Diceros bicornis minor: one gene and its partner. The protein of the gene in region 1 purifies or fractionates together with the protein of each later gene. This does not show direct contact. Links are inferred from orthologs where the notes say so. Each region holds a gene or a part of one and is shown in the gene's direction. Other genes may lie near its edges. The genes, in order: SOST and LRP5.

The links.
Region 2: the proteins of SOST (region 1) and LRP5 purify together in Homo sapiens (affinity purification with mass spectrometry; 3 studies listed by BioGRID and IntAct, counting the BioPlex papers as one, with this or other methods). This does not show direct contact. The link is inferred for Diceros bicornis minor from reciprocal best matches to the Homo sapiens genes SOST and LRP5.

What each region holds. Positions count from the first base shown.
Region 1 is NC_080757.1:42,469,592-42,485,292, reverse strand, and holds SOST (sclerostin), read left to right. Parts: upstream 1-7,861; 5' UTR 7,862-7,997; coding exon 7,998-8,217; intron 8,218-10,982; coding exon 10,983-11,404; downstream 11,405-15,701. UniProt on the Homo sapiens protein: Negative regulator of bone growth that acts through inhibition of Wnt signaling and bone formation.
Region 2 is NC_080770.1:5,620,988-5,636,822, reverse strand, and holds the start of LRP5 (low-density lipoprotein receptor-related protein 5), read left to right. Parts: upstream 1-9,337; 5' UTR 9,338-9,422; coding exon 9,423-9,486; intron 9,487-15,835. UniProt on the Homo sapiens protein: Acts as a coreceptor with members of the frizzled family of seven-transmembrane spanning receptors to transduce signal by Wnt proteins.

The sequences.
Region 1 (15,701 bases):
CTCTGACAGTGTAGGATTCTCTTAAGAATCCCCACTTGGAATTTACCATCACCTGGAAATTATAGGATGTGTAAAAATATGATGACCAGCAGGTGACGCTGTGTTCCACCCGTGGTGATGGATGGTTTGTGCCTTCTGTGTCAAGTTAATGCTAAGATGCTAATGTTTTAATCGAAGGAAGCACTGATCTGATAATATGAAGATATGAGCTTTTCTCGCAGGAAACTTTCTTTGTCACAAAACCGGTGTCACGAATCACTGAAGAGCCAACAATGATCGTCCTTCCAAGTCAAGATTTTATCCTGATTGAAAATAGAGGCCATCTCTGGCTGAGAGAGCACATTGGTTGGAAGTTTAACTTACCTCTTGTCAGCTTTTAGGGTAATTTGATTATGAAAGTGTGAATTTTCTGGACAGAAAAGGGGACGGTATCAAATTGGTTTTAAAAAAAAGTAAGTTTAACATCTGTTGTATCACAAGTCAGTGTTAAAACACTAAAACTGTAACCAAAATAAATGTCTTACATTACAAAGATATGGTCTTTTTTTGTTCTTATCATAGTTGATTTTCTTTTATGCTTTTATGCTTAGCTCTTATGTCTGCATTTTCTAACTTTGCAAAATAATCATCATTTAAAAATTAGCCCTCCTGAGCTAGTTGTAGGTTCCACGACAATTATATTTATGCAGTGGATGTTCGTTGAACTTCTCTCCAGTGCCAGAAATTTCTTGTGTTAGGAGTATTCTATTCTATTCTTCTATTTTTATTTATCTTAATTTCAGCTTTATTGAGGTATAATTGACTGGAACATTCTTAAGTAGAGAGGCCCACTCCAAATGACGGAGGTATGATTTAAGTTCCTAAGAAAGCAGGGGGTTGGGGTGACAGTCTCAAGGTGGACTCACATGAAGATGATCGAGTGGCATTAGGATTTGAGTGGTTCTGCAAACAGGCAGTCCCAGGTCATACCCCTGCCCCCAGATGCCTTAAATTCCACTGTTAGCACTATCTCCCTTATGATGAGCATTGCCTTTTTCCTATAAATAAAAAACGCAGAGCAAGTTGGGTGCCTTTTCTCCCACACAGAAAAAATCTGGGCAGAAAAAGAGCTTCTCTCGTTTCCAGTTCCCGATGTGTAGCGTGAGGTGGTTAGACTAGCTCAGTATTTGTCAAACCTCTTTGCAATATAATCTTCATATTTTTACACAAAATCTTAAGGCAGAGCACTGATATGTGAAACTGGTAAAAAGTGTTTTTAAAGTATAATTTTGAAAACATTTTAATTAAAAATGTAATACTGTATATACATAGTAATAAATTCAAACAATACAAAAGGCTTATAACAAAGAGTGAATCCTCTACCCCAAACCTTTAATCCCTCTCCCCAGAAGAAGCCGCTATAAAGTATATCCTTCTAGAAACATCTGACATGTATGTAAGCACACACATATGTATATGTGTGTATACACAGAGAGATCTTTTTCTCTATAAGTGGAAAATGTTCTGCACTTTGCTTTTTTTTTTTTTTTTTTGTGAGGAGATCAGCCCTGAGCTAACATCCGCCAATCCTCCTCTTTTTTTTGCTGAGGAAGACAGCCCTGGGCTAACATCGGTGCCCATCTTCCTCCACTTTATATGGGACGCCGCCACAGCATGGCTTACCAAGCAGTGCGTCGGTGCGCGCCCGGGATCCAAACCAGCGAACCCCGGGCCGCCGCAGCGGAGCGCGCGCACTTAACCGCTTGCGCCACCGGGCCGGCCCCCTGCACTTTGCTTTTTTTGCTTGACAACATCTTTTACCCACTGTTTCTTATAGTTCTGCCCCATTCCTTTTAACAGCTATGTAGCATTCCATTGTGTGTGGATGGACTGGGATTTCTGTATACTTTTATTTTAAAGGTCTGAGCTGCTTTTTTTTTTTTTTTTTAAATTTAATTTTATTTATTTTTTCCCCAAAGCCCCAGTAGACAGTTGTATGTCATAGCTGCACATCCTTCTAGTTGCTGTATGTGGGACATGGCCTCAGCATGGCTGGAGAAGTGGTGCCTCGGTGCATGCCCGGGATCCGAACCTGAGTCGCCAGCAGTAGAGCGCGCGCACTTAACCGCTAAGCCACGGGGCCGGCCCTGAGCTGCTTTCATGAGCACAGAATGTTGAAATGAGACTTACAGATGACAGTTGCAATTTTTTATCTGCCTTGTATCCTGTTACTTTCTGTCATCTGTTGTGGTGGCACAGTGTCAAGCCCATCCCAATACTCAGAGCGAAGGAGTGTCCTGTGCTCGCTTGTGTCATTTTATGGGGGTGGACATGCCCAAGCCTAACTTTTTAAAAAGACAGTCTCCAAGCTATGGCCTTCTGAATTGACGCATTTATAAGGAGTTCAAATGCACGGAGATTCAGTTTCTGAGGTCTACGCTAAAATGAATTACCCTGGAGGCAGCACTGAATGAATGAGTGGTCTCTAGTTCATTGAAAGTAGATGCGTAACACATTTGATTAATGTGTGTGTATTTTTAAATAACGAAAATGTACTTATTTTTTAAACCGTGAGCTATCTCTGTGGAAACCTGGGGTTCGGAGAAACCTAGTTTGAAAGCCCATGAACTAGATGACCTTCCACTTTAATGTCCCCAGAGGACAGAGGCCTTGAGCGGCCACCCTGAGAGGAAGGAGGGCAGAGAGAAGAGGGAGGGAGGTGTTGAAATGGAGAAAGAAGAGTGGGGGGCAGGTGCAGCCGGGTTCTGGAGGGAGAAGACAGTCTCCAGACACACACGGTGACAAAGAGCCTCTCTTGGGCCAAACCTTTGTTAGGCTCCTCTGAGCTTTTTTCAACTGGGCCTCGACTTTTGGGTTTCCTTGTTCCTCTCTGTATTATTCAATTTTAGTAAGAATCCTCCACCCTCCATATCTGATCACCCTCAATGTCTATTTGGGTTCCTCATCCCCCATGACCCCCCAGGTGAAGTCTGACCACCCTGGCCTGCCTTCACCAAGAATCCTCTTAGGTTGGGGTAGCCAAAATCACCCTTACCCCTAATACTTCCTCTTAGTAATTTTTCATTCACTGCCCCCCTCCCTGCTCCTTGGCTATAGACCCCACTTTACCTCGTATTCGGCGTGGAGCCCAATCTCTCTCCCCCACTGCAAGAGCCCATTGCAGTGGCCCTATACCTCTCACCACAGTACTCCCTTGAATAAAGTTTTCTTTACCATTTTTAACAAGCATCATAAATACCTTGTTCTTTAACAAGAGTTTGCAGACAGGGGCTCTGCAGGCAGAGGGTGGTAGTTTGAATTGAATGGCAGTTGGGGAGGTGCTGGGGATGAGTCAGGGCCCCACCTTGAAGGGCATGGTCTGCCAGGCAGAAGGAAGTGGAAGGTTATCCTGTTAGGGCCGGGGGAGCCATTCGCCTATTCTAGGCAGGAGGGTGAGTGACAAAGCTCGTTGGAGCTCCTCTCCCCCTTGTCCCTCGGAAGCTGCTGAATGAACAAGGAGGGCGTTTCCCCTGTGCTGAGACCCCGAACTCTACAGAGAACAAGTTCTCAGCTTGAATAGAGACAGGGTGACGTGGACCTCCCTCAATGCAGGAAATGACCTGCAGAAATTGCTCTCCAAAGTCAGAGACTCCATTTTTTGTTGTTGTTTTTCTGCTTGAGGAAGATCTGCCCTAGCTAACATCTGTGCCAATCTTCCTCTATTTTGTATGTGGGTTGCTGCCACAGCATGGCCGTCAATGAGTGGTGTAGGTCCGTGCTCAGGATCTGAACCCCAGCCGCCGAAACAGAGCGCACTGAACTTAACCAGTAGGCCATGGGGCCGGCCCCCAGAGACTCCATTTTTACCACTGACCTGTGGAAGCAAAATCTGTTTAAAAATGGAGCCAATAAGGAGAATCCTCAGTTTCCATGAATTAGAGTCAGGGAGCTTGAGAACCAAGTAGACAGTGAAACTAGGTGACATTTGAGGTTCCTTTCAGATCAAAGATTCTGTGATCCTAAGAGGTCCAAGGAGCATAACTTACTTGCCAAATTTGGCCTGTCCTTCAAAGTCTGGTCCAAATGCTACGTCTTCCCGTGAGGATGCCAAGTCCACCTCAGCAAGGAAGAAATTATTCTCTCCTCCTAAGGCCCAGAACACTTTGTCCTTTTAAAAAAACACATCTGAACCATTTCTTAGTGGTACCAATCACTTTCTACGTGCTATTGGAGTTATTTGGGTGGAGAACTTATTACTTCTCTGGTACAGGAGCTCCTGGAAGCCTGGTGGGAGGCCTTGCTTCATTAAATGTTTGGCAAGTGGATAGGCAGCTTGGTAGAAGCCAGTAAATAATCACACAGAAAAACAACTTCACTAGGAGTTAAGGTACAACTATTAAATTACTAAATTCAATTTAAAAAATGTTAACAGCTCAAACCCGGTGTGTTGGCAGCTTTGTGGAGAAACATGCTGTTATGGATGGAATTGTGTCCCTCCACAAGTCATATGTTGAATCCTAAGCCCTGGTACCTCAGAATGGGACCTTATTTGGAAGTAGGGTCCTTGTAGATGTAATTAGTTAAGATGAGGTCATTAGGGTGGGCCCTAATCCACTGTGACCGACATCCTTATAAAAAGGGGGAATGAGGACACAGACGCACACCGGGAGAACTCATGTGAACATGAAGACAGAGATCGAGGTGAAGCTTCTACAAGCTCAGGAATGCCAAGGATGCCAGCAAACCATCAGAGGCTAGGGGAGACGCACAAAACAGACTCTTCCTCACAGCCCTCAGAAGGAACCAACCCTGCCAACACTCTGATCTCAGACTTCCAGCCTCCCGAACTGTGAGACAATACATTTCTGTTGTTTAAGCCCCAAGTTTGTGGTATCTGTTTCAGCAGCCCTCACAAGCTAATGCACGTGCCCACTTGTATGTCGCTGGTGGGACTGAGGAAATGACTGGGTTTTCTGGAGAACAACCCTGCAATATGTAGCAAAATCATTCACCCTCTCAGACCCAGCATTTGCTTCCGGAAATAACCCTAAAGTTAAAAAAAAATTACTTGGTAGAATACTACTCAGCAATAAAAAGCAACAAATTGTTGATACATGCAAAACTTGGATGAATCTCCAGAGAATTATGAGTGAGGAAAGCCAATTCTCAAAGCTTACGTACTGGTTGATTCCATTTATATAACATTTTCAAAATGACAAAATTATAGAAATGGAAAACAGGTTAGTGGTACCATGGGTTAGGGGTGAAGAGGGAGGGCTTGGGGAGGGTGGGTGTGGGTATAAAAGGACCACGAGAGGGATCTTTTTGATCACAAGTTGTTCTTCATCTTGGCCGTGATGGTGGACACTTGACCCCACACATGTGATAAAGTTGTATAGAACTAAACACACACACACACGAGTACAGCTAAAATGGTACTCTCAATTTGATTGGGGGATTGTATCCATGTCCAGATCCTGGCTGTGATATTGTCCTATAGTTTTGCAAGATGTTACTTGAGAGAAACTGGGTAAAGGGTATACGGAATTTTCTCTGTATTATTTCTTACAAGTGTATGCAAATTTACAAAGATCCCAAAACAAAAAGTTTAATTCAAAAAATTACTTTGTACAAGGATGTTCATAGCATCCCTACTGAGGATAAGGGAGCATTGGAAATGCTAAAACCTAAACTACCTACAACAGAAGTCTGCTAAAACCCTGGGGGTTTAACCCTGGGGAATAGTGTCTAGCTCTGAACAACGACAAGCTTGTGGACTGAGTAAATAGAAAGCTGAATTAGCGTTAAGTGAAAAAGCAGATGGTATCATAGCATGTTCTCTCTGAGCCCTTCTGTAAAAAGCATGGCTATACATTGGCAGAGAATAATTAAAAAAGAAGGAGATAATTTAGAGGTTCAAGTCCATTGGATTCTTCTCTTTTTTCTCTTAACATTACTTCAGTTTCAAATAAAGTAATGATACGAAATAAAGCAATACTGAGCCTCTCCATCCTTCGGTCGCTGGCTCCTCCTTCCTTCTCCAGCAGGTGGCAGAAATGTTCCAAAGATGGCCCTCACAGTCGCGGGGTTCATGTGGATGGGCTGGCTCCCAACAGCAGGTGGGGCTCCAGCATCAATCGCGCCAGCTCAAGGAATCCAGGCGTCAGAACTGCCCTCTCTGAAGTCCAGGCCCAGAAGGCAGTTGTGCAGCCACGACGGGGTTAACGGTCCACATTCCAGAGCAAGGAGAAAGGAGGCTGGAGGGTCACAGACAAGGGGAGGGGGCACAGAGGGCCAGCTTCTCACAATACACCGGCTCTGTTGGGAGAGATAGATCACCCCCAACAATGGCCACAGCTGTTTTCGTCTGCCCTGAAGGAAACTGACATAGGAAGCAGGTATCAGAGAGGGCCCTTCCTGCAGAGGCTTCTGTCTGGCTTGTAAAACTGTCAGAGCAGCTGCATTCATGTGTCGAGTGATGGATGATGGAAAGAAGGAGGGACAGACGGCCGCAGATGGACACAGCGACCTACAAGTCGAGGCAGGTGGCAAAAGCCTGGCAGAGGCTCTGCAGGTGGGGCGTACTGATTCATGGCCCAGTGGAAATACCAAGGAGACCTAGGCCACAGCCCTCTTCCCAGCCTCCCTTCAGGGCCAGGAGTGGGCGCGGCTCCTCAAACAATCCGTTTTGGATGAAAGCTTCCGCTGGCCCTCCTTTCTTTTCCTGCACCTCAGGTGTGAACCTTCCTGCCCCGTGCCTCTCCCTCTTCAAGGCCCCTCATTCTGCTCCAGGGCTGAGGTAGCAATTCCTTCTCGTTTCTTTGTGGCTAGCTGGACCTGCGATGGCTTCATGGAATGCAGCCCGTGACTTGCACCAATAAGCTTTTCCATCTAGCACTCAAAGCTGCTTTTGAAAACTGTGGTGGGCTGGGAGACAAGAAAAAAAAAAAATCTCAGCACTAAAAATGTTGGCCCTGGCTTTTGCTAAGAAAAGGGATTTTGTGCTCCCCACTCCTACCCACAGCCCGGCTGGGGAAATAACTGCCTTTGGCACATCAGCCTGCAAGCCCTAGGGTGTCCTGGCCATAAAGTGCCTGTCACCGTGTGCAGGATCCCCGAGGAGCATGAGCTGAGGTTTCCTCGAGCTCATCGCCAGAGCCTGCTGACTTGCTCATCCCGGCCTTGTCACCAGAGTCCCTGCCCCTCACCCAAGCAGGCATGTTCAGTGTGACCCCCCCCCCCCCCCCCCCCCAGTTTTCTCTCTTGCCTTCCAGAGGATGTCAAGAAGGGCTTTCTTGGTCAGGATAATGCTGAGCCTCATGGAGTTGGGACCAATGAGATTTCTTTTCTTTTCTTCTTTTTTTATTTTTTTGTGAGGAAGATCAGCCCTGAGCTAACATCCATGCCAATCCTCCTCTTTTTGCTGAGGAAGACCGGCCCTGAGCTAACCCGATGAGATTTCTTAAAAAGCATCCTTTTGCCTCTGTCTGGGTCTGTGGGGGCCAAATATACACCCCTAGGGCCATTTATTGGTGCGATGACAAATGCATTTGGCCTGAGAAATGGGATTGGCTGGGCTCAGCCCTGTGGAGGACCCAGAGCTGCAGTTTTCTGTGTTCAGCTGGTCCACAGTTTGTTTTGAGAAAGCCCGAGGGACCCAGGGAGGTAGAGATGAAGAGCCGGAACTCATTTGATATCCGAAAACCACAGCCGCCTGCACGTGGGAGGTGTTGGAGGGCAGGCTTGCCCCACACGCCCTGCTCTCCCTGGGTCACCTGGGAGCACCAGCAGCAATTTGGGAGTTTTCTGGGCTTGAGAAGAAGTCTTTGGAGAGGGCTTGCTCGGAGCACAGCCTGTTCCCTCCCCCTGGGCTGAGGGAAGCATGGGACCAGCCCTGCCCCAGCCTGTCCTCATTGGCTGGCATGAGGCAGAGGGGGCTTTAAAAAGGCAACCGTGTCCGGGCTGGGGACCAGAGCCTGTGCTCCTGGAAGGCTGGGTGCTCTCCTACGGTTGGCACCATGCAGCTCTCTTTCGCCCTGTGTCTCGTCTGCCTGCTGGTCCACGCAGCCTTCCACGTGGTGGAGGGCCAGGGGTGGCAGGCCTTCAAGAACGATGCCACGGAAATCATCCCTGAGCTGGGCGAGTACCCCGAGCCTCCCCCAGAGCCAGAGAACAACAAGACCATGAACCGGGCGGAGAACGGAGGGAGGCCTCCCCACCACCCCTTTGAGACCAAAGGTACGGGGGAGGAGAGACTCTGTAGCACATGGGTCCTGGTGGGTTCTCTGTGGGAGGTTTTGAAGACTGGGGTAGACTGTCAGCCACTGCCAGCACCGGTGGAGGGACAGTCTTGCCTGGAGGCAGGGGAAGGATGGCATGCCAGTGTAGCCTTGGAACTGGAGTGCAGGGGCGTGAGGCTGGCAGGAGGCTGGCAGTGAGAGCCCGGGGCAGCAAGGAGGCTCAGGTGGTGAGGGTACAGCACTGGGACAGGCTCAGGGGCTCTGAAAAAAGGTTTCAAAGAATCCCCTCCTGAGAATAGAGGAGTACAGGTCCAGCTGCTGGCACCACTGGGGAGGGGACAAGGCAAGGGAGCCTGTCATCTGAGCACCTGCTGGAAGCCAGACACTACGCCGCCGTGCCTGTCCTGTCCCCAGAGACCCACAGTGTGGGAGCCCCATGAGGGGAACTCCCAGTTTGAGGTGAAGAAACCGAGGCTCCAGAGACTAACTTGGTAGTGAGTAGAAGAGCTGAGATTTGAACCCAATTTGAGCCAATTCCAAGACAACTCTGGTGGGGGGATTGTGTGGGGGTGTTGGGGACCAAGAGCCAGAGCAAATCCTCGCAGAGAAGTGGGAAAGGGACGCCAGAAAGGCTCCCCGTTGGCCCCCCTGCCCACGGTCTGCCCAGTGAGCCGGCACTTGAAGGAACGGGGGTTGTAGGCACAGTTTTAGCCTCTGACCTAGGTGGCAGCTGGGTCCAGGGCCTGGAGAAGAGGCAGCATCCTCTGTGCAGGGAGTGGACACAGGTGGCATTGTCTGTCCTGAGTCCCCAACCCAGACCCAGCCTTGCCTCATTCCTGGGGAGGGAGCCTGGCCCTAGTGAAAAGGCAGTGGCCCCGGTGGAGGGCACAGCTGGGTTCCTGCTCAGGTCTGCACACAGGAGCCTGGGAGGCAGTGTGCACAGCTGGCTCTGCAGCTGGCAGGAATGGCTGGGGGCAGGGACTGGAATGACACTTCAGAGTGAGGGCCTCACTGCCCTCTGGCCATTGTCCAGGTGGGAGAGGAGTCCACTGCCCAGGCTCCTGCATCCCATCCCTCCCCGCCTCACGACCACCTGGGAATGTGGGGCTCTGCAAAGGGCAACCCCAGAGAGGCTGGAGGACCTCAGGTCTTCAAAACGGGAGAGCAGGAGGCCCCTCCCCCGCTCTCCCCCAGGCAAGTTCACCAAGCTCCAGCAGTGGGCTGTAGGGGACTCAAGTACAAGACATCCACCTCCCTGGGCTCCCATGAGAGGCACAAGCCCCAATGAAGCCACGTGCTCAAAACAAAGTCACCCTCTGCAGAGGAAGCACCTGACCTAGGGTCACTATTCTTGGAAAGACCCAAACTGCCTCCTTCCCTGGGCAAACAGGTCACTCCCACACACCACAGCCTGGGAGCAGGGGTGAGGATGCCAAACTAGCCCAGAAACCAGAAGGCCAGCCAGGGAAGGAAGGCAAACCCCACAACTCCCCTGCTGTGCTTGTCCTCCAGCGCCTGGGGGTGGGGGCCTGGCCTTCTCTGCCCCCTCTCTGGTTTTGCTCTTAGGACTATTTTCACCCCTTCGTGTCACATGGTAACTGTCCCCATGAGACCCTTGGGGGTAGACAGGCGCTCACATGAGGACCAGCTCTTTAAAAGGCTCCCAGCAGACTAAGCCCACAGTAGGAAACATGATCAAGATGTCTTGGGGGGACCAAGCCAGGCCTCAGAGCCCAATCTCCCCGGACCCAGGGAGCAAGCCTGTCCATCAAATGGCCCAGCAGAGTGCCTGGTACACAGCAAGTGCTTAATGTTTGTGGCAGCCGAAACTGTAGGTTTTCAGTCCAAGCTTGGTCCTCCTCTGGTAGGGAAGTAACTGTAGTAAAAAGCAGCCCTTCGCCCCTCCCCCAGCCTAGCCTCCCATGGGTGATCAGGCACACAGCTTCCACCCTTGTGGGAGCTGAGAGGTTCCGGGGCGCCAGGGAAGTGGAGTCAGGAGACCCAGGTCTGCCGTTTGAGCCAGCCCTTCTCCCTCTCTGGGCCTCAGTGTCCTCAGTGATAATGAGGGGGTCTGACAGGCTGCCTTTGGTTCCTTTCAAGTCGAAAGACTTCTCTCCACCTCCCCTTCCAGCCCTCTCCTCCCAGCAGCTGCCCTGACTTATTACCTCCAATTAACCCCTACTCCTGTCTCCATCCCCTCTCCACCCCTCCCAAGTGGCTGGAAAAGAAATTTGGGAGAAGCCAGAGCCATGCAGAGGGTGTGGCTACCACCTACCCTCCATGGCTAGGGACCCTGTGGCACAGGTGTGACTTCAGTCTGGTGAAGAGGGCCCCCTTAGAGACGAATAATAACAACACATAACAATAGCCAACACTTTCAGTTCTTACCACGCGCCTAGTGGCGTCCCCTGCATTATCTATGTAATGGGTTAACTCACTGAATACTCAAGACAACCCATTTTACAGATAGGAAGCACAGAGAGGTTAAGTAACTTGCCCAAGATCACGCAGTGATGGAGTTGGTGTTTGAACCACAGCAGTCACTGGCTCCAAAGAATTAGGGGGAGAGGGTGGGTCAGGGTCAGGGTGGGGCTTTCCACCAGCCCCAGAGTCCCTGGGCCCTTCCCATAATAACTCCCAGGGGCAAGAGCGTCTGGAGAGAGGCAGGTTTGGAAAACGCGGGAGTGGCGTGGAGGGAGCCTGGCCGGGCGGGGATCGGGGGCTGGGCCTGGCCGTCGCCCTCACGCGCGCCTCTCTCCGCAGACGCGTCCGAGTACAGCTGCCGCGAGCTGCACTTCACCCGCTACGTGACCGACGGGCCGTGCCGCAGCGCCAAGCCGGTCACCGAGCTGGTGTGCTCGGGCCAGTGCGGCCCGGCGCGCCTGCTGCCCAACGCCATCGGCCGCGGCAAGTGGTGGCGCCCGAGCGGGCCCGACTTCCGCTGCATCCCCGACCGCTACCGCGCGCAGCGGGTGCAGCTGCAGTGCCCAGGCGGCGCGGCGCCGCGCGCGCGCAAGGTGCGCCTGGTGGCCTCGTGCAAGTGCAAGCGCCTCACCCGCTTCCACAACCAGTCCGAGCTCAAGGACTTCGGGCCCGAGGCCGCGCGGCCGCAGAAGGGTCGGAAGCCGCGGCCCGGCGCGCGGGGCGCCAAAGCCAACCAGGCCGAGCTGGAGAACGCCTATTAGAGCCAGCCCGCCCGCCGCGCCTCCCCAGCCGGCGCCCCAGACCCAGGCGCCCCAGGTTCCTGCCCTCCGCGCGCGGTTTGATTGTTTGTATTTCCTTTTAAATGCCTGCAACCCAGGGCAGGGGGCCGAGACCTTCCTGGCTTCGGCAGGAGGTAGCTAGGCCCTGCGGATCCTGGGTGCCTGCAAAGCCCCCCTCTCCCCGCCCGCTTAAGGGGTCCCGCAGGCCGGGGAGGGAGCTGAGAGTCACAGACACTGAGCCACGCAGCCCCGCCCACCGGGGCCGCCTACCTTGGCTGGTCCCACTTCGAAGGAGGCAGAAAGGGAAGCATTTCACCGGGTTTTAAGGGAGTAGTGGGGAGTGAGAAAAGGCCGAGGACCGGTTAAGAAAGTTCCATAAGATTCCCCCTCTACTTCTCTGCCCGTCGTGAAGCCTTTAGTGCCGCGTTGTGCCAAGAACACAGGACTGGGGTCCGTAGACGGGGCTTCTAGTCCTAGCTCTGCCCCTAACTTGCCGGGTGGCTACCCTCTTCTCTTTCTGGACCTCGATTTCTTCTGTAAAATGGAGGTAGGGAATGGAATTAGGATCTCGAGGAATCTACTGGCGTCTGATCGCAAAGACTCGAGTGCCCTTTACATGGGCAGGGAGAGAGAGAGGTTGGATTGAATTCCAGAATTCTGAGTTGTAATCCTCTGATCTGGCAGCCAGAGATGAAAAACAAGCAAGAAAAAAGAAACGAATCTATTTAAAGCTGACAGACTCTCCAAGGATGCGGTGTTGTTTCCCAGCCTGGCCTCCCCAGATGTTTGGCTACCTCCACTGCTCCATCTGAAAGGATGCAGAAACAACACCATCAATTGGGATAGAGAAGGAGAAGGTCCCAAGGGTGGCAGGAGGGACAGAAATCACCCCTCTATTCCCAAAGAGCAGCCCGCCACCCCACCCCTGCCATGGCCATATTTTAAAGTCACCTTCTGTAGAGAAGCTCAGGGTCCCAGGACACTGGGTTTGCAGGCCCAAGGGAGCAGCCAGCAGATCCCTTCTGAGGTACCTCCTCCTGCCTTCCATCCACTGACACATTTCTGTCCAGAAAATAGCTTCTTCCTGCTGGTACATGTGATGGCATTTCTTACATTAAAATAATATTACTGGGGAAAAAATGACAAGTGCTGTACATATGCTGAGAAACTGCAAAACCTAATAGCTGCCATCCAAACATCTTTTTGAAAATCATTTCCAGGCACCTCTTACTTTCTGTGTAGTTTTTAATTGTTAAAAGTTTTTTTTTTGCTAAACAGAAGCACATGCCGTGTGAAAGCCTGCTGGGCTGGTCATTTTTGTAGTCCTTTCATGTGGGATTTGTCCGCAAGAATGAAAGTAGTAGTTTTTAAAAAGAGTTAAGTTACATATTTATTTTCTCACTTAAGTTATTTATGCAAAAGTTTTTCTTGTAGAGAATGACAATGTTAATATTGCTTTATGAAATACCAGTCTGTTCCTTCAGAATCCAGAGGCATTGTTAATAAAGACAATGGATCGTTATGGAGAGGATGTGGTCTCATTTTGTCAACCACACACAGTCATTTCTGTCAAAGTGAACATCCTTCTCTTGGTCACTAGGGCTACAACCTTGGACGTACTTTGTGCTATGGTGGCCCTTGTGGCAGTCTTTCCTTTGAAAAGTCATGTTTGTCCCTTCCTTTCCAAACCTGGACCTCATTCCTCATTGCCTGGCCATTGTAATCACCTCAGCCTGCTCTCCCTTGAGCAGCCTGCCCTTCATGCTGTCTTCTAAAATCGTTGTTCTCATCGTGCATACCCCTGCTCAAGATCCTTCAACAGCTCCTTCTTGCCCAGGATCAAGTTCGGGCTTCTCAGTCTGACATGTAAGACCTTCCCCTGCTTGACTCCCATCCCCCGCCCCCCCCACGAAGCTTCCGTACTGACTCCAAGTGGCCACAGGCTGTACTGCTGTACTGCTCCCTGCCTCCTTGGTTTGCTGTCCCCACTGACCACCCACAACAACTCCTGCTCTTTTTGGGGGGTTCATGTTTCTTGTCACCTCTTCCCTGAATCTTCCAGAAATGTTCCAATCCCGCTGATCCCTCTCTCCTTGGATGTGCAGCCCCTTTTATCCATGCCACTGCTTTGATCCCTGAGTCTCTGTCTTACGTTTGACGTTCATTCTTGGATCACTTTGTCTCACCTGGCCAAGTCCTGCTTAGTACCAGGATAGACACTGAGCCCAGTACAATTCAGGACCAGCTCACGGGGAGCTCAGTCAAGCTTTTTTCTCAACGTGAGTTTCATGCCTCCCTGGTGAAGGTGTAAGCTCGTCGCAAGCAGGGACAATGTCTGGCACTTCTCTCAAAGTCTTACCACCTAAGGTGCCACATAGTGCCGGACGCTAGCTGAGACTCAAGAACTACTCTTCTGTTGCCATAAGGAGGGATGATCAATAGCAAAGTTTTAAATCAAGTCCATCCCATCTTGGGGTAACCGCACCCCAAGAGCCCTCCTCACCCCCCAAAGTAAGCTGAAGTCCTCCCAGATGACTTTCCACTGTAATTCCCAATGAACCGTCATAAATTTATTACCATCATCAAGTCTTTGAGAGGTGTCAGTGGGTGTTGCTGCCTCCAGCTCCGAGGTGGCCTCAGTGAGACCCTGCAAGGAATCCGTGCATTGTGAGGAGTGTCCCAGAGCTTGGAACAGGAGAGTGGGTAGGAAATGGATACATTGTCCAGCCCCCGGAGGCAATGTGCTACAGTGGCTGGGACATGGGCCCTGGAGCCATGTTTGTGTTTGATCTGAGGCACCAAGGGGTTAAATGTTTTGTCCGCAGCCAGGGGTGGGCTCAGTTCCCAGCCCTGACACTCACTCGAGCTGCTCAGAGCCTGGTGGGCACGTAGGCAAATAGGTCACATTGTTCTGTACAAAGTGTTATGGGACTAAGGATGAGAATAATTCATTCTGTGGTGGGGATGAGGGATAAAGGTTAGCGAAGGTTTCACAGAGGCGGGTGCTGCTTAGAGGCTGGCCAGGTGGAGAAGGGGGCACAGGTATTCTAGGCAAAGGCACTGAGGCTGAAGGCGCATGGCTGTTCGTTGGGGGATAAGACTCGATCCAGCACCCTTCGTCAACGTGTACTGAGTCTTTGCCTGCGCCAGGCAGTGTTGGGGAACCAGGAATTCCAAGCAATGCCCCAACACCAGCTATACCTAGGGTCTGCTTTCCTTTTATTTGTGTGTGAGGAAGATCAGCCCTGAGCTAACATCCATGCCAATCCTCCTCTTTTCTCTGAGGAAGACTGGCCCTGAGCTAACATCTATTGCCAATCCTCCTTTTCTCCCCTTGTTCTCCCCAAAGCCCCAGTAGATAGCTGTATGTCATAGTTGCACATCCTTCTAGTTGCTGTACGTGGGACGCCGCCTCAGCATGGCCAGAGAAGTGGTGGGTCGGTGCGCGCCCAGGATCCCAACCCGGGCCGCCAGTAGTGGAGTGCGCCCACTTACCTGCTAAGCCACGGGGCCGGCCCCTAGGGTCTGCTTTCTGAGACCCAGAGATCCAGGAGGGCTCAGCCCAGGCTACAATCCCATTACCACGAGGGGAAAAAACCCAAAGGCTAAATTGTAGGTCAGGCTAAGGGTTATTTATGGAAAGTTATATTCTACCTACATGGGGTCTATGAGCCTGGCGCCAATCAGAAGCGGACCAGCCAGGAGGCTCAGCTGGGAGGGGCAGTGTGCTGCGGGAAGCACACATTCAGGGGTGCAGCCAGGACGGGCTTGTGTTAATAGTCTGAGAGTCAGACAGATAGAGGGGCAGAGGGAAATAGGTCTCTCTCTCTCTACCGCTCTCACACACACACACACACACACACACACACACACTCTCCATGAGTCTCTATCTACACTGCAAGTATGCATCAGGCCACTTTTGCAAGAGGAGGTAGAGCAAAAGAAACTCAAAGAAGCCACAGGAATCCAACCTTCCCTGCTGTCCTTGAAGTAGGCAGGACTCGGGCAGCTGCGGGGGGCGGGGGGTGGAGAGCCTGCAAAAGCTACCCGCGTCAGCCGAGCTCAGAGACGCAGCAGCTGAAAGCTGGTGCCGTGTCCCACACCCGCCCGCCTCCCACTTGTTCCCCGACACAGGCCTGCCCTGGTTTCTAAGTCCTGATCACTGATTCTAGCTCTGGGGACGGCGTAGTCCTGCCCACCCCTCCTCCACCCCCCCATCCTCCCACTTCCTGGACCATCCTCTGTCTTCTCCCTTGTCCAAAGGCAGGCAAAGGCTCAG
Region 2 (15,835 bases), on another chromosome or scaffold:
GCCAGAGAAGTCCTACCCACTCCCGCCAGAGCCCGGGGGCTGCTGCTGCTTCTAAGACTCAGCGGGGAGAAGGAGGGCCTTCAGGGACTAGCAGGAACCCAAGATCCCACAGGCATGCCCTCAGCCTCAGCCCTGAGACCTGTACACTCCCGCACCACCTCCAGGCGAAACCTCCTGTCCTGGGCGCCCTCCGTGACTTCCCTTCCCATCTCAGCTACTGGGGATGGCCATGCTGGGATCCCACTGGGATGCAGTGTGTCCTGCAGGAAGGGCGAGGGCGAGGGCGAGACCCACCCCACGTCTGAGCTCCAGGAAGGGCCCGGAGAGGAAACTGCACAATATTCCACTGGGGCAGAGCCCTCATTGCCCCTGCAACCTGCCTGCCCACAGATCACCTTCCACACCCCACAAACCAGCCGCTCCGGGTCCCAGACCTGGGAGGCGCTGTTCCACACCCTGGCGCTGCCCCCTCAATCCCTCCGGGAGTGCCAGGCCTCTCCATAGCTGCCCGTCCAAGCTGATCCTCTGTGAAGGCCTAGTTCACCTCGTTCACCACCCTCCCGACCCCCCACTGAGTTTCCGCAGCCACTCTCCCTCCACTCCTCATCTCTGGCCCAATCTGACCACTCCCCAGCCTCACTCAGTGAAAGATGACCCTAATGTCTGCAGAGGGCAACAGCTAGACCCAGAGACCCCGGGGTAGGAGGACTGACCAGCCCAGACGAACTGTGCCCGCCTGCGGGGAGGGAGCAGATGCCAGCGGGAGAGGAGACTCCGACCCTGGAAGCTGGCAGGAGCAGGAGCCACAGGGCACTGGGGAGCCATAGAGGATTTGTGAGCAGGGAGGGCCACGGTCAGATGGGCATTTTAGGACCGTCACGCTGGCCGTGCCGAGGGACAGAATACAGCGGGGAGAGCCCAGGGGCCTGCAGCTAGCCGTGGAGATGGAGAGAAATGGCACCCAGGAGGGTCGTGCCTGAAGCAGGGGTGAGCTTGTGAGCAGGAGGGGCGGGGTTGGGGGGTAGGAGCAGCTGACTCAGGGAAGCGAGGGAGGGAGGGAGGTGTGGGGTGGGAGGGGCTGCAGAATCCAGACACGAGATACAGCAGGAGCAGCCTTTGGGGCTGGCAATGGGAAGGAAGGTCATGGCAGGGCCAGGACTGAACGGGCAGGAGATGAGGACGGGGGCAGCGAGTGTAGACGCTGGGTTGGAGAGGCTTGGCAGCTGAGCTGACAGAGAGGAAAGAATGAAGGGCAGTGGAGAGGTTTTCTTGTACTTTTTAAGAAGGGAGAATCTTGCTCATGTTTACAAGCTTAGTGGGTGGAAACAGAAGAGGGGGGTGAGCTGGACTTCGGCCAGGCAGGAGGGGTCCCTGCAGGGGGCGAGGACCTGGGAAAGGGGAGGTGGTCAGTGCAAGGGAGGGGATTAGCCCAGCAGGAGGAGGGCCATGGTAGAGCCGGGAGGCCTGGGTTCAAATTCTAGCCTCGCCATTTTCCAACTGTGTGACCCTGGGCAGGTGCCATGTCTGTCCTGAGCCGTGGTCTCTCTCTTGAGATGGAGTTAAGACAGGACTTTCTGCCTTGGTTTTGTCTGATATTGAAGGCCTAAAACAAAATAATACATGCCATCCTGCCGGGGGCTCCAAGCTTTAGGGGGCCCCCACTGCACCCCCCAGCCCACCCATGCCCACGGGTGACATGCTCCCTGATGCCCCCCACACCTGCCCCTGTACTTGGACCCCGAATTTTCTACCCAAACAGTACAGAGCCGGAGTCACAGGCTGTGCAGGCACCTCCCCCAGACCTACCCTTCCCCGGGAGACCTCACCTGGGGCAGAAGTCCAGGGAGGTCCCGGGCTGGGTCTCCTGTCACCTCGCCCCGGCACAGAGGAGTCCAAAAAGTCTAGATGGCATTGCCTCCCTGGGGTTATGAGGTGTATTTGTCCAGCCAGCGGGATAGAACACTCCTTACTCTGCAATCTGTGGGCTGATGTATAACTTTTTTTTTTTACAGTGACCACCCATAATTTTATTACATAGCTTCAAAATTTATTAAGATTTTGCCACATTTGCCAGAAATATAAATATTGAAAGTACGTTGCAGACAATTTGGAGCTTCTGCATTAAATGGTTTGAAGAGAGCTCCTAAGAAGATTCTCTTATGTAAACGGGATAGTTTTGTCACATCTGAAAAAATACTCCTAATTCTTAATATCATTAGAGTTATTTTTTTAAGCAGTTTTTTTTAAAAGATCAATCGGCATATCTCTTTTGTCTCTTTTTATGCAGAAAAATCCCTCCACCTTTTTTTAAAGGGCACTGCTGTGTTGAACAGTGGTTAAAACTTTCAAGTGGCAGGCATGCTGCTGGGTCTGCTTCGCTCTTTCATCCTGGGTCACCCACTCGCCTGAGGTGAGGGCCCTGTAGGAGGGAGCCTGGTTCTGCAGCCCCAGGGTGACCCACTCGCCCCAGTGTGCCTGGAACCTTCCCAGATTTAGCCCTGAAAGTCCCATGTCCTAGGAACTCTCGGTTGCAGGCACACCGGAGTGGTCGGTCACCCTATGGCCCACGGCCCACCTTGAGAGTATAAAAGAGGGGTACGTGGAGTGAGAGAGAGAGGCTCCAAGGTGCATCCGCCTCATCTCGAGACTGAGAAGGAGGCTTTGAGGAACTAGGGGGGCTAATGTCCCCAGAGCTGGGGTCTGGATGGCGGACAACAGGTGTGTCTGGTGATTGCTCTGCGCCTGATACGTTATTGGTCAAGGCTGTGGCTGCCTGGCCAGCCGTGGAACTGGACAGGTGGCCGTGATTCCTGGATGGTTGGGCCAAGGCGTGTGTCACAGGGGTCAGGCGCCCTCTGAGAAATACCCAAGTGACCACAAAGAGCCCCAGAGAGAAAGAATCCACATCTGGAACCCCCGAACCTACAGGTTTTTGTGTGTGTGTGTGAGGAAGATCAGCCCTGAGCTGACATCTGTTGCCAATCCTCCTCTTTTTTGCTGAGGAAGACCGGCCCTCAGCTAACATCTGTGCCCATCTTCCTCCACTTTATATGGGATGCCGCCACAGCATGGCTTGACAAGCAGTGCATGGGTGTGCGCCCAGGATCAGAACCTGCAAACCCTGGGCCGCTGAAGCGGAGCGCACGCACTTCACCTCTGCGCCGCCGGGCCGGCCCAGAACCTACAGGTTTTGAGCAGTCTGGGTCACAGGGGCGCCGGTCTCCCCGGCTCCTTTCCGTACCCTCTGTCCCTCCCTCCCCCCAGCTCTGGCCTTGAGGAGCAGAGCAGAGGCCAAGCTGGCCTCCCCCCTGTGGCTCCCCTGCCCACTCAGTTGGGCTGGAGCGGGGGAAAAGCTGGGACTCTGAATAAACTTTAGGTCTGATCATTAAACCAGAACTGGAATTGCAGCTCCTCATCTGAGGCTGTTCTTGGGACTGGAAGGGCCCCGAGGACTTCATTGCCCCTGAAGGTGACCAGAGAGGCATGGCAGCCACCCAGTGTCCATCCAGGTGCACTGACCGCGGGGCCTTCTGCCTCAGCCCTGTGGAGTCTTGCATGTTCAACCAAGTGCCTAGCATATGCTCGGCCCTCGGAATAGCCAGGTGCACGCGAGCCACTGCGTGTTTCCAAACAGCTCTCCTCAGGGTCCCGGGCCACCGGCCGCTCGCTAGGTCCAGTGGACAGTCTCCACCCCCATGCCACTCGTCGGACAGCCGCCCCCTCTTGGCCCTGCCCCTCCACTCACTCTCTGCCCTGGGTCCCGGGAGCCACGCTGCCCTGCTCCTCCTCACCTCTGAGCCTGCAGGGCCCCAGCGCGCAGCCCTCAAACCCCTTCCTTCAGAGCTGCTCCTGCGGGATCACGGCCTTAATCCTGAAGATTCCCGCATTTCTATGCCAGCCCAGCCCTCTTCCCCAACCCCGGACGCTGCCCACTCTATTCCTCCACTGGGAAATCTAATAGGATATCGGCCAGACAAGTTCAAGGGGGACTCCACCCCCACCCCCGGGGTCTCCTCCCTTTCATTCATCAATTCTTACATCTCAGTGCATGGCAGCCCCCACCTTCCAGGCGCTAGGGCCAAACACTCCGACATCACCCTCGACTCTTCCTTCTCTCACCCTTGACCTTACCCTCCGCATCCTCTCTACCCTCAGAGAGATCCAGAATCCAACCACTTCTCACCATCTCTGCTGCTGCCATCTGGTCACCCTGAACTTGGACCACAGCAATGGCCCCTCATCTGGCCTCCTTGGTTCCTCTCCCGTCCCCTCTATTTCCCACACAGTAGCAGAGAGATTCTGTAAAATGGAAATCAAATCCCATGCTCCTGGCCCTCCAAGGGTCCCCCCATCTCTCTCGCTCAGAGGAGATGGCCTCCACGGCTCTGCAGAGCTGGCCTGCTCCTCTCTGTACTTGGCTGTCTCTGCTACAGCCCCTCTGGCCCCTCACTGCACCTCAGGGCCTTTGCACGGGCCTTCCCTGCTGGCTGCAAGGCTCCCTCCCTCCCTTCTTCCAGGTTCCTGGATAAATGTCCCCTTCCTAGTGAGGCCTTCCTCACCCCCTGACCCTCTTATGCTGCTTTATTTTTTCTAGAACAGGTGTCACCATCTGACCCCCTAGAGCAGGGATGGGTGAATGTTTCTGTACAGGGCCGGATAGCAAATATTTTAGGCTTCACAGGCACACAGTCTCTGTTGCAACTACTCAATTTGACCGTTATAGTGTGACAACAGTCAGAGACGATACCCTGGACAAGCGCTCACCTCTCTGACCTCAGTTTCCTTCCCTGTAAAATGGGTTGTGAAGATTAGGGATTGTGTTAGTTTCCTGGGGCTGCCGTTAACAAATCACCACAAACCAGACAGCTTAAACAGCCAAAATTGATTCTCTCCCAGTCTGGAGGCCAGAGGGCTGAAATCAAGGGGTCAGCAGGGCCGTGCTCCCTCCAGGGGCTCTTGGGAGGCTCCTTCCTGCCTCTTCCAGCTTCTGGGGGCCCCTTGGCTCCTGGTGCATCCCTCCGATCTCTGTCTCATCTTCACACCGCCTTCTCCGCCTCTTGTGTCTGTCTCAAATCTCCTTCCGTCTTTCTTTTATAAGGACAATTGTCATTGGATTTAGGGTCCTCCCAGATAATCCAGGACGATCTCATCTTAAGATCCTTAACTTAATTACATCTGCAAAGACCATTTTTCCAAATAAATTAAGATTCACAGGTTTCCAGAATTAGAATGTGGATTCTAACCTTTTTTGGGCCACAATTCAACCTACTTCAGGTGTCTTTAAGGCGCTTAGAAAGGAAAATGAAACCTGAATGTCAACTCCTTAATCTGCAGTGAAAATAAAACTGCTAAGTGGACCCGACACTTGTGTGGCTCTGTCTAGAACATTCTCCCCAAGGACGCAGGTTACACAGCAAGCCACGTCACCAGGAGGGTCGAAGCTCAGGACTGCAGAGACTGAGGCGTGGATGACCACTATCAGAGGAGGGGCCTGGCTGGGCCATGCTCATGCCCTGTCTTGGGTCCATGTAATCACCATTCACATTAATGCAGCGCGTTAAAGTATAAAGTGCATTTTTACAAGTCTTATCTTATTTGAGGTTCACACCAGCACCGAGAGATAAGAAGTGGAGCAAACACCATTGTTCCCATTTTTATGAATGAGGAAACAGAGGCTCAGAGAGGTGAAGCCCAGCCTGTGTCCCTCACACCCCAGCTATCTCCATGGAGACTGTGGCCAGCTACTAACTAAGCTTTCCACTGCCCACCACCCTGCGCCGACGGCCGCCTTCTCTAGCCTGCTCCTGGTGCGGATGCCGGGAGGTGGTGCGCTTGCAGCGGGGAGGCCCTGGGGATCTGAGGGATAGGCCGGTCAGTGGATGTTCGCATCGCGCGCCTCCACCGAGCTGCCCTCGTGAGGATGCTCGTGGCTTAGAGAGCCCAACCCTGCGGGAGCCCAAGGCACACCTCTGACCACAGCCGCCAGGCCTGCCCGGCGGGGGGGTTCTCGTGCCCAGAATAACTCTCCAGAGTCAGCATGTTCCAACTGGGGAGAGAAACCAAAAAGGCACTTTTCCCCAAGTGTTACAAGGCTGAGATGTTATCCTCAGATGGGCCCTAAATGGACTCCGGTTGAGCCTCTGTCCCCGGAAACGATTAGATCCAGCAGGTGCCAATCCCCCGTGACTTCACTGGGTTGGAACTTGCATCAGAGGAATAAATGGAGAGCGAACAATTCCAAACACGAGGCCGAAGAAGAGTTCGGTGGCATGGTGAGCTGTGACAGGCAGCCTTCTGGGGAAGTGGAAGCTTAGCACATTCTCTGGTTGCTTCTTACATTAGTGAAAAGTCTAAAAATTACCGCCCTTGTGATGCCAGAATTCTGCAGGATAAAATGGTGATTAGTTCTCATTGGTTCTTTGCAAACAGCTTTTCTCAAAGTTCTGATCGGCATCAGGCAACTTGGGATCTCGCTCTGATGCCTCAAGACCTGGGGCACAGTCCCTTTCCTTTCGAGGAGCCTCCGGTGGCCCCTCCACAATGGATATCCCAAGAGTTGGCACAGGAAAGCCCAGGGCACCCCAGGAGCTGCTACCAGCCTCCCCCCACCCCCTGACTTAACTGGCCTCTTCTATATATACCGAATTCTCCCATTCAAGAGTCAAGCGTTCCGTCTCCCTCCTTGAGAATACAGAATCCCAATGTCTGTCTGTTTGTTTGCTTATATCTCGGTTCATTTTCCTTTCCGTCATTTGCATCACTGAGTGTAGGGTCTTCAGCTTCTCCGGATCCCTTCTCAGATTTAGAACTTTGGACCAGCTGCTGTAATAAGTGTCCACTAGCAAAGCCCCTACTGCAGGCCACCCTGGATCCCCTTCCCCTCATCCCCACAGCCAGCGCCCTTAGCAAGTCCCATTAGCTCGTCCTAAAGCATCCGGAATCCAGCCCCTTCTCACCATTCATGAGCCCCCCACCCCTGCCAGTCCAGGTGGCCGTCTCCCCTGGCTGCTACCGTGGTACCCACTTGCTGACCAGCCCCCACATCCCCTCTTCCCTCCTGACAGTCCTGTCCCCACTCAGCAGCCAGAGTGCTCCTTTTATGAATGTAAATCAGATCTTTTCACTTCAGTCATTCATTCAACAAACATTTATGGAGTACCTACCATGTGCCAGGCCCTGTCTAGCCTCAAGGGATCCACAGGGAACAAAGCGCTGAAGTCTCTGTTCTCATGGAGCTTCCATTCCAGTGGAGGGAAGAAAGATAAGTAAACAGTTTGTCAGATGGCGGTCTGTGCAAAGAAGAAAGGTAAAGCGGAAAAATGGAGCCAGAGGTGCCGGCAAGGGTGGAGGGGGGCTGGTTTGCAATTTTCATAGGGGGTCAGGCAAGGCTGGATGAGGAGCTGAAGGTGTGAGGGAGTGAACCATGTGGATAATGGGGTAAAAGAGTTCCAGCAGAGAGACCAGCAAGTGCAAAGGGCCTGAGGCAGAGTGTGCTGGTGTGTTTGAGGACCAGCGAGGAGGCCATTGTGGCTTAGTAGGGTGAGGGAGAGTCCAGAAGGAGGTTGGAGAGATAAAGGGAGAGGTGCGGCCAGATCAGGCGCTGTAGGTGCCATATGGCCTTTGGCTTCTATTCTGACAGATATGGGAGCCATAGCAGGTTCTTGAGCAGAGGAGGGGTGTGATCTGACTTGTTTTAACAGGCTCACTCTGGCTGCTGTGAGATCAGGCTGAAGGGGTTCAAGGCCAGAAGCAGGAGACCCATCAGGGGGTGAGAGGCGACCCAAACTGGGGTAGTGGTAGTGGAGGTGTGAGAAGAGCCGGGAATCTGCGTCTGTTTTGAAAGTGGAGCCAACAGGATGTGCTACTGGGCTTGGGCACGGGTGTAAGAGAAGAATCAGCGGAGATTTTGCTATTCAAATCCCTACGATGGCTTCCATTGCTCCTGGGATAAATTCTCGACTCCTCTTTGGGGTCTGACATGCGCTGGCCCCAGCTGGCTTCTTCTGCTGCTCGGTGGTGGTGGCTCACACGTCCCTTCCTGCCTCAGTCAGAATTCCCCCAGACACTGCAGCCCGACACCCTCCAGTTTTCCCAGCATTCCTCACAGTCTGTTAATGGCGTATGCACATATATATTTTTAATTTATCTGTCTTCTTTTGGTCTCCTTCCCTAGAGCAAACCCCAGGAGGACAGAGACGCTCTGTGTGACCACTAGCTTTGTAAAGTTGTCACAAATGCATGAAGAACGCACGTATCCGGTTGTTCATCTGTCGCCGCCAGTTCTCTGCACCTGCAAGGTAGGCATCGCTATCCCTATTTTAAAAGGGAGGAAAGTGGGCCGAGAGGGGTTATATCGAACCCAAGGGCACACCTGCTTCTGGGAAGCAGCAGAGCCTGAGTTCGAACTCGAGACCACAGGTCCAGAGCCGTTGCCGTGGCCCCTGGCAGCCCCTCCTGTGCCCTCAGAGTGCAGGGCTGAGCTTGAGGCTCAGGGGGGCACAGAGCGGGGAGGATGGGGGACGCCCAGCGCCTGCCTGTCGAATGAGTGCAAGGCGAGGTCTGCGCTCCTAGGGGGCCTTTTTCCCCCAGCCCGCCCAGAAGCATATTGGGAAGAACGCAGCGTGTACTGCCCGGTCTCCGTGCACCACAATTAACGTAGGGGGCAGACATTTAGTTTAAAAATAAAACCTCAAGCCCATCCCCACTCCCAGCCCGTGCCGCTCCCGCCCCTCTCCATCATCCGCTTCTGTCCCTGCCCCGGCATCGCCTCGCGGTCGCCCTTCGCTGCCCTCCCCAGCGCCCCTCACCGGCGAGAACAGGTGTCGCGGGGCCGCCCCGACGGGCCCCTGCCGGGGGTGGCTGCGCTCGCAGGACGGCGCACAGACCTGGCTCCGAGCCCCTGGCTTCCAGCCCCAAAACTGCCTTTCTGTGTGCCCTCGGGCCACCCCTCTTCCCTCGCCCCGCCCCCGTGCCTCAGTTTCCCCATCGGTAAAGGCCGGGTCCCGGCAGCTCTACAGGTGACACACCTGCTTCCGGGACTTGCTCAGTCCCCGGGCCCCGCGGGGTGGAAAGCCGGCGCCCGACCCCGCGCCCCCGAGGGGCCCCAGAGCGGCCCCTCGGGGGCGGCGCGGGGCGCGGGCAGGGCCGTGGGGAGCCGGCGCGGCGGCCGCCTGGCCCGGGGCCGGCTCCGGGGGGCGCCCGCGGGAGGGCGCGGCCGGCGCGGGGGGCGCGGGCGGGCTGCGGCGGCGGGGGGCGGAGACGCGGCGCGGCTTCCGCTCCCGCGCCCTCCTCCCTCCTCCCCCGTCGTCCTGGTCCGCGGCGCCCGAGGGGGGAGGCGGCAGGCGCCGGGAGCCGCGCGAGGAGCCGCCGGCGCGCCATGGAGCCCGAGTGAGCGCGCGCGGGCCCGGCCGGCCCCGGACAACATGGAGGCGGCGCCGCCCCGGCTGCTGCTGCTCGCGCTCTGTTGCAGCCTGGCCCCCGCCGCGGGTAGGTGGGCGCGGGCCGGAGGGACAATGGCCCGGGCGCCCGGGCGGCCCCGCGGCCAAGTGCGCGGCGCCGCCTCGGAAGCGACTTGGCAAGTTGGGGGCGAGTTGGGGCGCGCACCGCGGGTCCCCGCCGCCCCCCGCCGCCCGGGGGCCGCGCGCCGGCCCTTTGTCTCGCCCGCCCGGGCCCCTCCCGGGAACACCGGGGCCCGTCCCGCGTCCCGGGCGGGCGAGCAGGGCGCGCGGGCGGCGCCGACCCCGCCAGGTGCGGCGCGGGCGGGTCCTCACCTGCCCGGGCCCGGGGCGCGCTCGGAGGTGCGCCCGCGGGAAGCCGGCCGGGCGAGGCCGTGCCGGGCCCGTGCGGACCCCGGCCCGCGGGCAGGCACAGAGCGGGGCCGTTCGGCCCGGAGACAGGCCTGGCCGCCCTGCGTCGGGGACTCTCCGGCGAGCCTGTTTCCGATGGCCGCGCGGCCGGCCTGCGAGCTCCGAGAACTGATTGAAGTTGCAGAGAAAGTTCTGAGACCGGGCGCCGGGCGGCCTGGCCTGTCGCGCGGCCCCCTTTGCTCGGCGTGGCTGTCGGTTTCCAAACGGACTGACACCTGCCAGGTGGCAGGACGACCCGTCTGGCCGCCGGGGCCCCGCACAGTGGCGGCCGAGGGGTCGGTGTCCACCCCGGGGGCCGGTGCGTGGGGCCGCCGCGCGGGGTGACGTGGTCCCGGAGCGCGGCGCGGCAGGGAAGCGTGCTCGGCTCTCGGCTGTGCACACCCTGTGGGAGGTCGGGGGCTGGGGACCTTTCTCTCCGACTTTTGGTGTGTCCCGAGGGGTGGAGTTGAGGTCAGGAGGACTCGGGAAACCTAAGCGCCTTATGAAACGCTACACATGTTCTTTTAATTTGGAGATTGCCATGTGGTTTTTGAAGCCAGTCTGTCCTACCTAAAGCCTTCTCTTCGGACGTGAGTGTTTTGTTTTTCTGGAGTGTGGCTGGCCAAGGGGACGCGACCAGCGAGTCCTGTGCTCTCCGGGCTGCTATTCTGCTGGTGGCAGTTTGGGGGCGGGGGGGGGTCCCTCGGGTCCCTTTGTCTGGGCCTCTTTAAGGCAAACAGCTGTCTCCCTGAATATTTCCAGTGTGGACTTCGCAGGGAGGTGTCCTGGCCTGGCTCTGGTGGCATTCCCAGTGCCTGGGCCCCTCCATTGAGGTTTGGGGGGCTAGAGAAGGGGGTGTTTCCCCAAGTCTGCCAACCTCCCAGCCCAAGCCCGGAGACTGTTGGTGGTTTCACCCCAAATTTGTCTTTCTCAGGAACGTGTTTACATTTCTCAGCCATGTCTGATACCAGCAAAATGAGGTGACGGCAGAACAATGACAGTATCTGGGTAGTCCAGGCCAACGCTGCTCCTTTTCTTTCCGGAAATGCCTGGATCACGGAGGCAAAAGGGTTTTTTTTGGGAAGATGTTTGTTTTAAAGGTGGGGTTTCTCAGCCGGCTACGTTGCCTTTCACTTTGTTGCAGTTTTGAGTTTCCTCTACCTTTTGGGGCGACTTTGCTGGAATCGAACGCCCGTTGGTGTGCGGTTCGAGCCCGGACAGAGTCACATCTGTGGAGTTCAGTTGTATGTGAGGCAAAAATAGAGTTGATTATTTTAACATTAGGGAGTATGTCAACACGAGGTTTGCAGAGCACTGGTTAACGTGGTAATCCAGTCCTAAAATGGACGGAAGGGGAGGAATCTTTCTGCAGAGCGATTTTTGACTGTTCTCCGTTTGTGATATCCCGCATTTCTATGTTAGATTTATGCCTTGGTCCGGAGTGGAGCCAGTAAGCTGGTAGCTAATTATTTTTCCTGATTGCTTCCTGTTGCAATTTGAAGCTGTGAGCCCACGGAAATGCCTTTGTTCTTGTGGCCCCCGTCATGGGAATGGCCTTCCCCAGACCCACGGCCCGGGCTTCTCCCCTCTGGCCCCACAGCACTTGCTCCAGGACGGCCTTTCCAGGGCCCCCCGCAGGGTGGTTACTGCAGATGCTCACTGCGAGGTGCACCAGGAGGGCCCAGCAGGTGGGTGTTAACTAAATTCTGCATGGAGTCCACTGAGGGAGTCCCCCCAGAGGACCTTCTGCTTTTTAAAGCAGAGCCCACATGCCTTTCACCCTCCCGCTCAGATCCAAGAATTCACCCTGTCAACCCGGATGATCCAACATTTGCCGTGGAGATCCCGTTGTAGTTGGAACCCGTTTAATTTCAGCGGCACTGTGTCACCGCTCAGGCATTTAGCAGCATTTGCACGCTGGGGTGGGGGGTGCAGTCAGGTGAGGACTCAGCATGGCTTCCTGCCCTGAGGTGTGGGCTTGCCAGGCCTGAGAGCCAGGGCTTTGGGCTCAGACTGTTCTCCGTTTGTGATGTGACAGAAAGCCCAGGTTTACATGCTCAGTAGCTGTTTGACTTCGGCTGACTGACTTAGCTTCTCTGTGTCCGGTGTCATCCCCTGGTCCCCCCCACCCTAGGCAGTTGGAAGAGTTAAATGTGTGTGCAATCCTCAGCACCATCCCTGTCCTGGGCGAGGGACTGGTGGTGGCCGAGCTGCGAGGCCTGTTGTGTAACGGGGTCCTTGATCTTTCTGGGCTGGAAGGTCTAGAAGCCGTTACCGCTCAGTCTGGATGATTTCCTCGGCGTGCGACCTTGGATGTTTAGTGCGCTGTCTGACTCGTTTATTGCTGCAGCACCACATGGAGGCCCTCGGGGTGATGAACGTTGTGGGCAGGGCCCGAGTGTCCGGGGTCTAATCCCAGCCTTGCCGGTTGCCATGTGGGGGAGCTTGGGCAACTTGCTCCACCTTCGTGTGCCTTGGGTTTCTCTTCTGTAAAATGGGGGTAATAATACTTAATACCACTAATTCAGGGAGTTAATACACACCCAGCACTGTATCAGCTCTTATTCTCGTTGCTGTTACTCTTTGGCGCCTGGTACTGTGTGAAGTGCTGGGGATAGAACGAGACAGGACGGATGGAACGGCAGATCCGGCTGGGCCTTTGCTGTCGGGAGGGTCCGTGTGGAGGGAAGCAGGCAAACAGAAGCCGGCTGAGCAGCTGTGGGAGAGGCAGACCCGGGGGCTCTCTCTCACAGTCCTGGAGCCCCGTCCTCAAGGGCCGGGTGGTCTCCTCTGCTGAAAAAGGCCAGATCACACTGCAGAGTCTGGATGTGATCCAGAAGGCGATGGAAGCTTCTGGAAGACTTAAGTCGGGGGCAGGAGGGTGGATAGGAAATGCAGGCTGGAGTCAGGTCTGTACTAGGTGAAAGGTGCTGAACTGATCTTTATTTTTCTTTTGATTAAGGTGAAAATCACATAATATAAAATGAACCATTTTTTTATTTTTTATTTTTTGTGAGGAAGATCAGCCCTGAGCTAACATCCATCCTAATCCTCCTCTTTTTGCTGAGGAAGACCGGCTCTTAGCTAATATCCATTGCCAATCCTCCTCCTTTTTTTCCTCAAAGCCCCAGTAGATAGCTGTGTGTCATAGCTGCACATCCTTCTAGTTGCTGTATGTGGGACGCGGCCTCAGCATGGCCGGAGAAGCGGTGCGTCAGTGCGCACCCGGGATCCGAACCCGGGCAGCCAGCAGCGGAGTGCGCGCACTTAACCGCTAAGCCACGGGGCTGGTCCTAAAATGAACCATTTTAAAGTACACGATTCAGTGGCACTTAGAACATTCACGATGTTGTGCAGCTTCCATTTCCATCAAGTTACAGATCGTTTCTATCACCCAAAAATAAAACTCCGTGCCGTTAAACAATAACTTCCCATTTCCCCTGCCCCCAGCCCCTGGCAGCCACCAGTCTGCTTTCTGTCTCTATGGAGTTGCCTGTTCTGGACATTTCATATACGTGGACTCATACGACACGTGGCCTTTTCTGTCTGGCTTCCTCACTCAGCTTAATGTTTTCGAGGTGCGTCCACACTGGTGGAGCAGTGGTGTCTGCTCCGAGACAGGCCGCCCTGCGGGGCCGTCCTGGGGACAGCGCAGGTCCAAGTGCTGATGTGCGGAGGCAGCTGCAGCCGCACAGACAGGGCCCCAGGGTCCCGCCCGCTGCTCCAGGCTGCTCTCTTTAGCTCTGGAAAGCGGTTTGCCAGCTCTCAGTCTCAGTTTCCCCGTCCTCAAAATTGGGACGATGCATCTGCCTTGCAGGGCACTGGATGGGGTTCAGTGAACCAGTGTCTGGGAGGAGGACACGGGGGCCCTTTCCTCCAGGGCCAGGTTCGCTTTTAAAAGATCCCGATCACCCTCGTCCAGCTGGGGGCCGGGAGTGGTGTAAGATGTTGGGGCTCTGTGTTTGGCGCTGGTTTGCCCCCAGGAGTGGCGGGCAGCCCTGAGCTGGACTGGAGCTCCAAGCGGGAGCAGACCTGGCCGCTGACCCTTCCCCTGGCAAGGGGGAGTCCACGAGGCTGTGTGCTGACTAGGGAGTGCCCTTGCCCACATCTGTCCTGCCTGTTCTCGGGCCCTGAGCAGCCCCGCTATCTGTGCGCCTCCCAGCCCAGCCTTTGCCCCCACCTGGCTGGGGACAGTTGACACTCCGCTGGCCCACCTATGGGCTCACCTGCCCGGTGAGGCTTTGCCTTGCACTCTCGTGGTGGCAGCAGCCGCGTGGCGCTGGAACCTCAGGTTCTGACCGAGTCTGTGCCCAGAATCACGTGTCCACTGTTCTGTGTCCCCCTTGCTCAGGATCTCTCTTGCCTTGGACCCCCTGGGAGGTTGTCACGGTGACGTCAGAATGACCTGTTTTTCCCACTTTTAAGTGTGCGACTCAGTGGCATTATTTACATTCACAGTGTTGTGCAACCGTCACCACTGTCTATTTCGAAAATTTGTTTATTACCCCAAACAGAAACTGTACCCATTAAGCAGTCACTTTCTCTCTACTTTCTGTGTCTATGAATTTTCCCATTCTAAGGACCTCATATTTGTGGAGTCATGCAATATTTGACCTTTTGTGTCTGGCTTATTTCATTTAGCATAATGTTTTTGAGGTTCATCCAAGTTGTAGCATGTATCGGAACTCCATTCTTTTTTACTGCTGAATAATATTCCTTTGTATGGAGAGAGCATGTTTTGCTTATCCGTTCATCTGTTGGTGGACACTTGGGTTGTTTCCACCTCTGGATATTGTGAATGATGCTGCTGTGAACATTGGTGGGCAGGTATCTGTTTAAGACCCAGCTTTCACTTTTGGGGCTATACCCAGAAGTGGAATTGCTGGATCATATGGTATTTCTATGTTTAATATTTTGAGGAACCATCAGACTGTCTTCCACAGTAGCCGAACCATTTTACCTTCACATCAGCAATGCACGAGAGTTCCAGTTTCTCCACATCCTGGCCAGCCCTTCCCATTTTCCCTTTTTATGGTTCTAACCCTCCTAGCAGGTGTGAAGCGGTACCCCATTGTGGTTTTGACTTGCGTTTTCCTGATGGTTAATGACATTGAGCATCTTTATAAGTGCTCGTTGACTGCTTTCTTTTACAAATATATATATATTTAAATGCAAGACACACGTGTAAACAGCTTAAACATGTTCCATGGTACCTCTGTCTGTGAAGACGGGCCTCCTCCTTTATTGCCTAGTTTATTTCTCCCCTCAGAGATGACCAGGCCTTTAACACGTATTTTAACGTGTTACATTTTTTTGAACACATCCTCATGTTTTTTATATAAATCCCATCACTCTCGATCATTCTATAGTCTGTCTTTTTCACTTGCTAATGTATCAGAAACATTTTCTGTATCTTTACTTTTAGATCTTCATTCTTTTTAAAAGCCAAGTATTTCGTCGTATGGGTGTATCATACTTCTTGGCTTTTACTCAGTTGGGGAGCATTTAAGTTTTTCCAGGCATTACTGCTATTACAAGGTGTGCTTCAGTGAGCGCCCTTGCTCATGCGTATCTACGCACGTGTGTGCAAGCATTTCTGTGAGACACGTTCCTCGTCAGAGTATGTCCATTTATAAGTTTTCAAAGATACCGATAAATTCCTCCGAAAAGTCTGCATCAGTTTGTACCCTCCCAGGCCTCTGTGAGAGTACGTGCGTTCCTGTATCCTCTCCAACACTGGCGATTACCAGGTTCTATTTTTTGTAATCAGTTTGATTAAAAATTATAACACCTTTTGGGCCAGCCCCGTGGCTTAGCGGTTAAGTGTGCGCGCTACGCTGCTGGCGGCCCAGCTTCGGATCCCGGGCGCGCACCGCCGCACCGCTTCTCCGGCCATGCTGAGGCCGTGTCCCACGTGCAGCAACTAGAAGGATGTGCAACTATGACATGCAGCTATCTACTGGGGCTTTGGGGAAAAATAAATAAATAAA